3 linked regions of the Macaca fascicularis genome follow. The protein of the gene in region 2 purifies or fractionates together with the protein of the main gene of each other region. This does not show direct contact. Links are inferred from orthologs where the notes say so. Each region holds a gene or a part of one and is shown on either strand. Other genes may lie near its edges.

What was found.
Region 1: the proteins of NOD2 (region 2) and RIPK2 purify together in Homo sapiens (affinity purification with western blotting; 12 studies listed by BioGRID and IntAct, with this or other methods). This does not show direct contact. The link is inferred for Macaca fascicularis from reciprocal best matches to the Homo sapiens genes NOD2 and RIPK2.
Region 3: the proteins of NOD2 (region 2) and XIAP purify together in Homo sapiens (affinity purification with western blotting; 3 studies listed by BioGRID and IntAct, with this or other methods). This does not show direct contact. The link is inferred for Macaca fascicularis from reciprocal best matches to the Homo sapiens genes NOD2 and XIAP.

The regions. Positions count from the first base shown.
Region 1 is NC_088382.1:99,465,362-99,468,861, reverse strand, and holds part of RIPK2 (receptor-interacting serine/threonine-protein kinase 2), read right to left. Parts: intron 3,397-3,500; exon of another isoform or gene 3,246-3,396; intron 1,952-3,245; coding exon 1,796-1,951; intron 1-1,795.
Region 2 is NC_088394.1:46,670,039-46,673,538, reverse strand, and holds part of NOD2 (nucleotide-binding oligomerization domain-containing protein 2), read right to left. Parts: intron 3,305-3,500; coding exon 1,489-3,304; intron 1-1,488. UniProt on the Homo sapiens protein: Pattern recognition receptor (PRR) that detects bacterial peptidoglycan fragments and other danger signals and plays an important role in gastrointestinal immunity.
Region 3 is NC_088395.1:130,137,487-130,140,986, reverse strand, and holds the end of XIAP (E3 ubiquitin-protein ligase XIAP), read right to left. Parts: intron 1,932-3,500; coding exon 1,738-1,931; 3' UTR 206-1,737; downstream 1-205.

The DNA.
Region 1 (3,500 bases), on a different chromosome or scaffold from region 2:
ATAGAAGATAACAAAAAAGAAAATCTTCAGTAAGTAGAACTTGGTGAAAAGTGCTTGGAGATGACAGCAAAAGCATGATCCATAAAAGAAAAAAAAATGAACTTCATCAAAATTAAAATTTTTGCTTTGTGAAAGTCCCTGTTAAAACGATGAAAAGATAAACTATAACTGGGAGAAAATATTTGCAAACTACATATCTGATGAACTACCACTGTAACATTATACAGAACTCTCAAAACTCAACAGTAAGAAAACCAAGGACTCCCTTTAGAAAATGAGTTTAAGACATCAAGAGACATTTCACTGAAAGCCACATATGGGTGGCAAATTAGCATATAAAAAGGTGTTCAATATCATTAGCAGTTAGGAAAATGCAAATTAATACAAGATGAGATATCACTATGCATCTATTAGAACAGCTAAATAGAAAACAATGATAATAACAAATGCTGGTAGGGATGCGGAATAGCTGGATCTCTCACACATTGCTGGTGGAATGTAAAATGGTACAGCCACTCTGGAAAATAGTTGGATACTTTCTTTAAAAACTAAACACACCGACTGGGCTCAGTGGCTCAAGGCTGCAATCCCAGCACTTTGGGAGGCCAAGACGGGTGGATCACGAGGTCAGGAGATTGAGACGATCTGGGCTAACACTGTGAAACCCTGTCTCTACTAAAAAAATACAAAAAACTAGCCAGGCGTGGTGGTGGGCGCCTGTAGTCCCAGCTACTCGAGAGGCTGAGGCAGGAGAATGGCATAAACCTGGAAGGCGGAGCTGGCAGTGAACTGAGATCCGGCCACTGCACTCCAGCCTGGGCGACAGAGCGAGACTCTGTATCAAAAAAAACAAAAAAACAAAAAAAACTAAACACACCCTTACCATATGACCCAGCATTTGTATTCTTGGGGCATTTATCACAGAGTAATGAAGACTTATGTTCACTCATAAACCTGTATAGCTTTGTTCACAGGAGCTCTGTAAATAATTACCCCAAACTGGAAAGAACCAAAATATTCCTGAATGGTTAACTGTGGTACATTTATACTGTGGAATACTATTTATCAATAAAAAACAACTATTGTTACAAGCACAACTTAGATGGATCTCAAGAGCATTATGTGATGTGAACAGATCCAATCTCAAAATATCACATACTATATGATTCCACTTATATAGCATTTTCAAAATGACAAAATTAAAGAGATGGAAAGCAGATTAGTGGTTGTTAGAGGTACAGATTGTGGTAGAGAGGAAGTGGGTGAGGTAGCATGAGTGGTATCTTTGTGGTGATGTTATGAGAAGTGCTGTACCTTGATTGTTGTGGTTACACAAATTTATACACGTGATAAAGTAATGGTACTATGTACATGCATTGTACTAATGTCAAATTCCTGGTCTTAAAATTATACTATAATTATGTTTGACATAACAATGTGGGAAACCAGGTGACGGATACATGAAACCTCTTTATTACCTTTGCATCTTCCTATAAACATATAATAATTTTAAAATAAAAAATAAAACAAAAAAGGTGATCTTGACAATTCAATGAAGAAACATAATGGCTTTGTATTTTATATCGTAATTCTATCTCTGTCTAGGAATAGCTTCCTAACTGCAGTAGTAAGAAGGAGAATAGAAGATAGAAATTAAGGGCTACGGAAATTACTATTCATTGGTCCCTAACTCTAAGGAGAGATATGAAACAGTCTAGGTCGAAGAAATAACTAAAAAGTATTTTTAAAACTATAAGGACAAGGAAACAGATAAACTTTTTAAAAAAGTAATTACCTTAACATGAAATTCATTGTCCAATAGGATATTCTGAGTCTTCAAGTCATGATGAAGTAAAGGAGGAGTCATATTGTGCAGGTAATTTACACCAAGGGCAATTTCATGCAGAATGCGAAATCTCAATGGCCAAGCAACATCAGGATATTCAGTTTTCTTCATATATATGTGAAAAGAAACAAAATAAAATTAGTCCAAATTTCACTACGTTTCACACTTAGAAGTTAAATATTCCATGAGGAAATACAGTATAAACTAAGGTTAAAACATATGCACATTTTTATAAAATAGCGTCAATTTGATAGGGTTTAACATTTACGTGTCTTACTTTCCTCACTTTCTAGAGAAAGTTATGATAACTTTATAGCACGAATACTTCCTTTTAGTTTATGTTGGTCATGCAACTACATGGTTTTGGGTCTTTCTTCAACTGACACAGATCTCAGTTATTTTGTGTCTATACATAGCCAAAGTCATATACTTACACCCACATCCACCTCTCCATTCTATGTCTTAATCAAGTAATTTGAACGCACACAAATACACACAAAATTACACACAATTTATTTCTAGTAAATACCAAGCCATTCATTCAAAATTTTTATTTTAATTTTATTAATATAAAATCAGACTTTATTATAATCACTGCATCAGTTATAAATTATGACCATATTTATTGACTAAGCACTAATTTATCATACATTTAATCATATAATTAATTTATCTGCATTCCAGCTTATAAAATTAGCCTTTTGATTTGTTTTTGTGGAAGGGGACAATCATTTTTGTTTCTAAAACTATACAGTATAGACACATTTAAAACATAACGTTTTATTTTTCATAGTACTCAACATCCATCTGAGCTTTCTTAAAATAAATGTTTTCTGAACACAAAAGTTAATGTAGCTTCCCAGGAGAATGAACATACTTCGGAAGACCAGGCAATTTGGGAAGATCAACAATGAATCACCAGGCACCATGCCACATTTTTCTAAATGCTATGAAAAAGACTGCTTCTACTGAAAGTACAAAACTGATCTTGAGAAGTTTTTCTGCAAATGCGTCAGCTTATAGTTCAGTGATCAATCTGGCAGGGGGAGTGGTTCAAAATATTTTAGATTGTTTATGATACATCTTGAGTTTTTTCAATGAATTTTGTAAGGTTGGGGGAGGGCACGTCAAGATAAATCCCACCCTAAATAATGCAATACAGGAAACCAAATGAAACACAAAAGACTAATGTGGAACATTACTTTCTCTGGTACACACAGAGTCCTGTCCCCTAGAGAAACTGAATCTTTTAATCTATAAAAAAGGTAACTTTTTCTGAAAATTACGCAGTTTAAAGCAGTTACCAGGCCTCTCTGCAGCATAATGTAATATGGAGGCTTGTGATCATGGAGACAAGGGAGAGAAGTGCTCACTCTATATTTTATGATTTTTTTTCCAGGAGTTAGCAGTCCCCTGGAGGAGGCTGTAGAATGTCCAGTGAGCTGCAAATTTGAGTGCCAGAGTATCTGCTGGGGTGTGGGAAGAAAATGTTAGATTTCTACTTATATTCATTTCTCAACAAAAATAAACGAGAAATTATGATTTATTAATATTTGTATCTTGGTTGCTGTGGTAGTTATACAAATCTTACAGACTGACACCAGTTACTTATTCCATCCTTGTTTCAAATGATCACAAGTCACGAATAGAATGT
Region 2 (3,500 bases):
AGGGTGGGGAGTTAGGGCCAAGCGGTATTCTTCCAGGTTGCAGAAGCTCAGGCAGCCCTCTCCATACCTTCCCCCCAGCTAATTAGTCTCCCTCCCCTTCCCCCTTCAAGTCTACCCTCCCCCAGCGGTTACTAACCCCAGGCCCCTGCAGCAACCCTCTCGCTCTTCCTAACTCCTGCCCATGGCTTATAAACAATCTCTTTATTAAACTCTCCTCAAATCATCCATTTTAAGTGTATCATCTGTTTCCTCCAAGACCATGATGGGTATAATCATATTTATATTCATTGTGTATAACACATATATATATATTCACTATATATGTTATGTATTATGTTGTTATTATGCTTTAACCTTATGACCATGGTCCTTATGTCAGGGTTAACAAAAGTCACTGCACGGTTTCTAGTGGATATCCATGTGTTCGGCCCATAGTGAAAAATAAATCTTGTTGCTTTGCCCCAGAGAAGATGTATACCATCCTAATACTCTCAAGAAGAGGTTTGTCCCATGCTTAGGGTCAATTAAGGTCATCCAGGTGTAGCCTAAAGCCCCTGGAGGCTGGGAATCGATTTTAACTTCAATCTAGAACTTCTGCTTTCCCATGGGTTCTAAATAGAAGCAGGGCGTCCCCTTTCAAGCTGGAAGGATGTTGGGGAATCTGTGGCATGCTGATCCCCAGGCCTAGGCACACCCTCTGCCCTTGCCTGCCCCCAAGATGTGGAAAGAGGCCACTGAGTTCAGGGGCACCGATTCTCCAAAGGGCAAAACCTCATATCTTTGGCTGGGGCTCTTAAGCAATACAGGTAGTGCTGAAATCCTGTTTGGATACTGTGCTACCTCAGGAATCCAAGAGTGGCTCCTCTTCCATTGTTGAAAGTGGCCAGGCAAATGGAAGATAGCCACTGTTGAAATCCTGCAGCCACTTTCTATTTCTTGGGCCCTGACATTCCCATCTGATTGGGATGTTAAAGTCTCTGATGGGGCACTAGTCACCTCTGATTTGGTGACACATAGTACACAAAACTTTCTGCATGTGACCTCAAGGTTTTCAGGGAGCCTCTGAAGTGTATCCAGAGACTGGTGGGGGGCAGGAAACCTGTTATCAGAAAGATGTGATTTGTGAACCTCAACTCTGCCATTTCCTGTGTGACCCTGGACAATTTACTTCACTCCTCTGAGCCTCAAGTCAAGGATACTGGAGATAATAACATTCCTGCCTACAGCCCTGGGTAGTTGTAGAGATTAGATGAGGTCATTCCGGAAAGAGTAGCACCAGACCCAGCACATAGGCCAGTCAATAAAGTATGGCTGTCATCACCACATATTGAAATTAAGACCCAGAAGGGAAGGGATCTGGACAGGGGTGCAAAGAAGGGTGGCAAAGGTGAAGCTGGGCCCAGATTTCTAGATCCCAGCTCGGTGCTCCCACGCTTAGCCTTGATGATGCTTCCCCATGCCTGAATAGCAATGCCCAGTAACACTCACTACAGAGCCTTGCAGACACCAAGGCAAGGCAGCAGCTGCTCCACGCCAATGTCACCCACAGAGTTGTAGTCCAGCTGCAGGGCCACGGGCTGCCTGAGGTGCCGCAGCACAAAGGCCAGGGCAGCACACTCCGCGGGGCCCACACTGCAAAATGTCAACTTGAGGTGCCCGACATTCAGGCCACGTGCAGCCTTCCGTGCTAGCCGCTCCTCCTGCATCTCGTATAGGCTCCGGATAAGCCAGATGAACCCGGGCATGGCGTGCATGCTCTTGGCCTCACCCGGCGCAGCTGGCGGGATGGAGTGGAAGTGCTTGCGGAGGCTGCGGGCCAGACACCAGCGGGCACAGGCCTGGCGCCGGAGCAGGGCCTTCTCAGATGCCTGGCACTCGGCCAGCAGGTCCCAGTGCTCCCGGGACAACAGCCCCGCCAGGAAGGCTGCCGTGATCTGAAGGTTGTGCGGCTCGGCCTTCTGCAGCAAAGCTGCCACGCTGCCGTCCTTTCCCTCTGAGCCCTGGATGCACAGCGTGGGCAGGAGCCTGGCCATCGGTGAGTTGCCGGGCCTGCCACAATTGAAGAGGTGTCTGAGCAAAGCTGGTGACACATCAGCACTGAATGCCAGGTAGAATGCAGCAAAGAAGCACTGGAAAGTGATGTGCAGGAATTCCAGGGGCGCCGTACTCCCTGGCATGACACCTTTGGCACGCACCAGGAAGCCAAGAGAAATGTCATCAGGGCTGACCTGTGCTGCCTGGAGCTGCTGGGCTGAGAACACGTAGCAGCACATGCCCAGGCCCCACAGGGCTAGTCTGCCCAGGTGCAGAAGGGTGGGGAGACGGCCCCGAAGAAGACTGGGTCCCAGACCCTGGGAGGCTGAGTCTGGGGAGGTGGCATGCAGCAGAAAATGCTGCAGGATCAGCAGGTACATATCTGTAGTGGTCTTTGGGGACACCCCCTCCTGCAGCAACAGTTCCTGGTGGCATTTGGACACCATCCACGAGAAGACAGGAAGGTGGCACAAACCGTGCAGGGCTGAGGTCCCTTGGAGCAGGCGGATGAGGCGGTCTGCCACCCCAGGCTCACGATGGCGCTTCCTCAAGTACAGCTCGATGCCCTGTTCAGAGAAGCCCTTGAGGTTGAACTCGGTGCGGATGTACTTCCTGAGGAATGCTGACACAGCGGCTGGACGGCTGGTCATCACCTTTCGGGCATTCTTCAGCAGGTTGCCCTGCAGAAGGTTGAAGAGCAGGGTCTGGACAGAGGTGGGGTCGGTCGGGGAGCAGTGACGCTCATGATCCGTGAACCTGAACTTGAACTCATCAAAGCCATCAAAGGTTAACAGGACACGGTCAGGGTGGTCAAGGAGGAACTGGAAGATGTCCTCTTGATCAACATCAGGCCAACAGCAGTGCTCAAAGAGTAGTGTCCGCACGGAGAGTGGTTTGGCCACGCACTGCAGCTGCCGGCAGCTGAATGGGAAGACAAAGAGAAATTCCTGGAAGTCTCGCCCTGCAGCCCACAGCAAGTGGAGCCGCTGCAGGAGCGTGCTCTTGCCGCTGCCCGCCTCACCGACCACCAACACGGTGTCTGCATCGTCGTTGAGGTGGCTGCGGGTGCTGAAGAGCTCCTCCAGGCCCAGGGTGGCCGGGCTCTTCTGCGGGGGTCCAGCCATGCCCACGTCTGCCCAGACCTCCAGGCCATTCTCTGTGTATATGTCCTCCAGGCAGAGCGTCTCTGCCCCATCATAGGTGCTGAGGAAGCGAGCCTGAGCAGACACCGTGGTCCTCAGCTTGGCCATGTACTTCCTGCATGTGGCAGCTGGAAGGCAGAAGAAGAGGCAGATGAAGGTGGCACCATGGTGAAGAGGGGACCTAATCAGACAGTGGGCTGCTGTGGGGGAAGCTGACATAACTGAAGGGATAGGACAGCCAGCAAGCGCCCATCCTGGCTCCTCCATTCACAAGCTGTGGACTTTGAGGACAATCAAGGAAACTTCCTAACGGTCAGTTTCCAC
Region 3 (3,500 bases), on a different chromosome or scaffold from region 2:
GTACAACAAAAATATAATTTTTTACAGTTTTACTCTCAAACTTTTCTCTATGTAGTAACATGCCTTACTCACCTCTACAATAGGTTTGTTGTGAGAATCTTATAATGTAAACCCTGGACGTCCTATGAAGCATTTTTAAACTTCTAGTTTATGTCCTATTGATTCTTATGCAAGTGTTTTTCAAAAAATATTTAAACAACTATTCTTTTCTTGCCAATATTTTTATAATTTCCAAGAGGTTGTAAGGATGTTGAGAGAACATTGATTTCAGAAGTATCTACTACTATTACTAGTCAAGAACACAAATGTAGGCAGAGGATTTAACATTTCATCCTATATACATCTTAATCATCCTAACGGTAAAAACTCACATGAAACTTTAAGATACAAGATGATATGAGAATCTCAACATGGAAAGCTGTCACTATAACTACAAGCAGTGTACAAACATACTTCTACTTTTACCTACATAAGCTGACAGATGTTTAAAATACTGAGTTAACAAAGATCTTTTAGTAAAGTGACTTAGGCAGGCTTAAACTAGCAAGGATTAAGGATGAATCCTTACTAATTAATTGGAAGATCTGAGACATATTTTATATTTCATTTTACAAAATCAGAAATACTTATTTTGAAACAAGATAAGAAGACATGGTCTACCTGTCAAAAACCTACCACTCAGAAATATTTTTCATCCACAAAGCAGGAAAAACATAAAACCATTTACATTTCACATTGGCACCAAAAAGGTTAACTGCCCTGCCTTCTTGGATTAGAAAAACTAAAGCTGAGTGATAAGTACTTTTGCAGGCGTTTGAACATGCCTAAGCCTTTAAATCAGTAAAATACTTTCTAAAAATTCTGATTACAAAAGTAATACATACTTATAAAAAATTCAAACAGAACAAAATGAAAAAAATAGAAAGTGAAAGGCCCCTATAAAACCCCTCTGAGGCCCCTTCCCCAACCCCCCCAAAGAGAAACCACATTTAACAGTTTGGTGTCTATCTTTCCAAATCTTTTGTTCTATACATATAAGAAACATACATACTTTGATTGCCTCAGACTATACATAGTGTTTTGCCACTTGCATTTTACACTTAATATATCTTTCACATCTTTCCATGTCAGTACATCTTGGCTTGATAGTATTCTATCATTAAATACCCTTTCAAAAATGGCAAATCACTTTTAAAAAATTATTCGCACAAGTACGTGTTTATAATTTTAAAAGAAAATGGACAGAATCCTAACACACAACAACCAACCTCTAAAAATAATCTCTATCTTTCCACCAGCATGGAACAATTATTCCTTTTTCACACAAAACAAATTATGTGATTGGGGAGATTAATCTCCACATTTATATACAGAAAGCTCCATTTGTTAAGCCTATCTGAAAAGAATAAAAAATCCAGATGATTAATTCACTTACACTTAGAAATTAAGTCAGTATATGATGAATACACATTGTGTTCAGTTATAATATGATGCTTCTTAGTCTAGGGTTTCAATTAGATAACAGTAAAAAAAGTTGGATAAATAATACAGCTAATACCCTGAAAAATCCAGAAATTCAAAGATTATATTGCCAACTAAAACACTGCCATGTACATTTTTTTTCTACTTGGTAGCAAATGCTAATGGAATTCAATCCTGATTACTTAAAAGTCAGTTCACATCACATATTCAATCAGGGTAATAAGAAGAACATAACATCCCTACTACAGAGTTAGATTAAGACATAAAAATTTTTTGCTTGAAAGTAATGACTGTGTAGCACATGGGACACTTGTCAACTGCTTCAGCACATTGTTTACAAGTGACTAGATGTCCACAAGGAACAAAAACGATAGCAATATTTCTATCCATACAGATTTTGCAAAGCTTCTCCTCTTGCAGGCGCCTTAGCTGCTCTTCAGTACTAATCTCTGCAAAAAGAGAAAAGAATTATGCTAGTTTTAGACTTTCTTAGTTGTTTACATTCATTGAAAATATTTATTGAACCCCTACTACGTGCCAGGCACCCAACAAGTGCCAGGAGATATGAGGATGACTCACACATGGCATCTGCTCTTAAATAGCTCACAGGCTAGTGGGAGAGGATGTAAGATGAGGCTATGGAGGTTAAGCACAAAGTACAAAGTGATAAGTGCTGTAATAAAGTTATGTACAAAGTGCTCTGGAACAAGATGAGAAAACAAGTTCTTCTGCTCAGGCTAGTTGGAGAAGGCTCCACAGGTTGGCAGTGGCTGGATCGGGGGAGGAGGGAAGCGGAGGAGTGACATTTAAGCATGGGCAGTAATTTGCCAGGCAGAAAAACAAGGGTTAGGTAAAAGGAGCAGCATATGGAAAGGTCACAACTAATTCCAGAAATAGAGGGATGGATTTGAGGGACACCTCTGAAGTGGGACAAGTAGGACTGGGTGACTGACTGGATATGAGGGCTGAAGAAGAAAGACAAACTAAAGTTGATTTCAAGATTGCTAGCTTGGCTGACAAGGATATGGTGATGCCAATAAGAAATATAAAAGGAGGTACAGGTTTGGGATCTTCAGATATTTTTTAGGTGTTTTCAGGACACTCATATAAAAATACCCAGTAGGTAACTGAAGAGTCAAATCTTGAGGTCAGGAGAAGTCAGGGCTAGAGATAGAGATCTGGATGTCATCAGCATATAGGTGGCACTGAAGTACTTGCTTAATTCAGCCTTTCCCAAAATAGTTTTGTGAAATGTGAATACATACGCCACAAAAAAAATGTGTTTCATGGTCACATATAACAATAATGACAACAGCAGCAGCAGTTAACAGTAATATTGCATAAATAGTATGTGCTAGGCACTATTCCAAATGCATTACATATTTTAACTATATCTTTATAACCACAACTATTTGTTTATTTTAGCATCTTTATAATCATTATGTACCAGCAGTTTCCAAATACGGCCTCACATGAGAATAACCTGGGGCATTTTCAAACAACAGATTTCTGGGCTCCATTCACAGAACCTAAAATTTCTGGGGTTGGGCACACCGGCATTTGAGAACCACTGTCATCCATGACAGGGCAGTACAGTACAATATAGGACAGTATAGTCTATATTCCCTCTTAGAAATGTACAACACATTCCCCTGTTTAACTATGGGGTTCCTTTTTCATGGCATCCTTTTAATATCCTGTTGAACACTATACTGAAAACATGTTTGGAAAACAATAGTTTATTCAAGAAATACTTACTGGACACTTAACTAGGTTCTACTAGGGATACAATTAACAAATACATAAACCTCAAGCCCCCAATCGTTCATAGACAAGTAAACAGGGAAGTATAAATGGTATGATGACAAAGGTAATTACAATGTGTTATGAAGAGCACAGGAAGGGTGTGTGTGCATGTGTGCCCATGCATGCATAAACGAAGGCCTCCTGGAGGAAATTATATCTAAAACTGGATACTAAAGAATGAATTAGGAGTTTACTAGGAGAGGGAGGCCTTG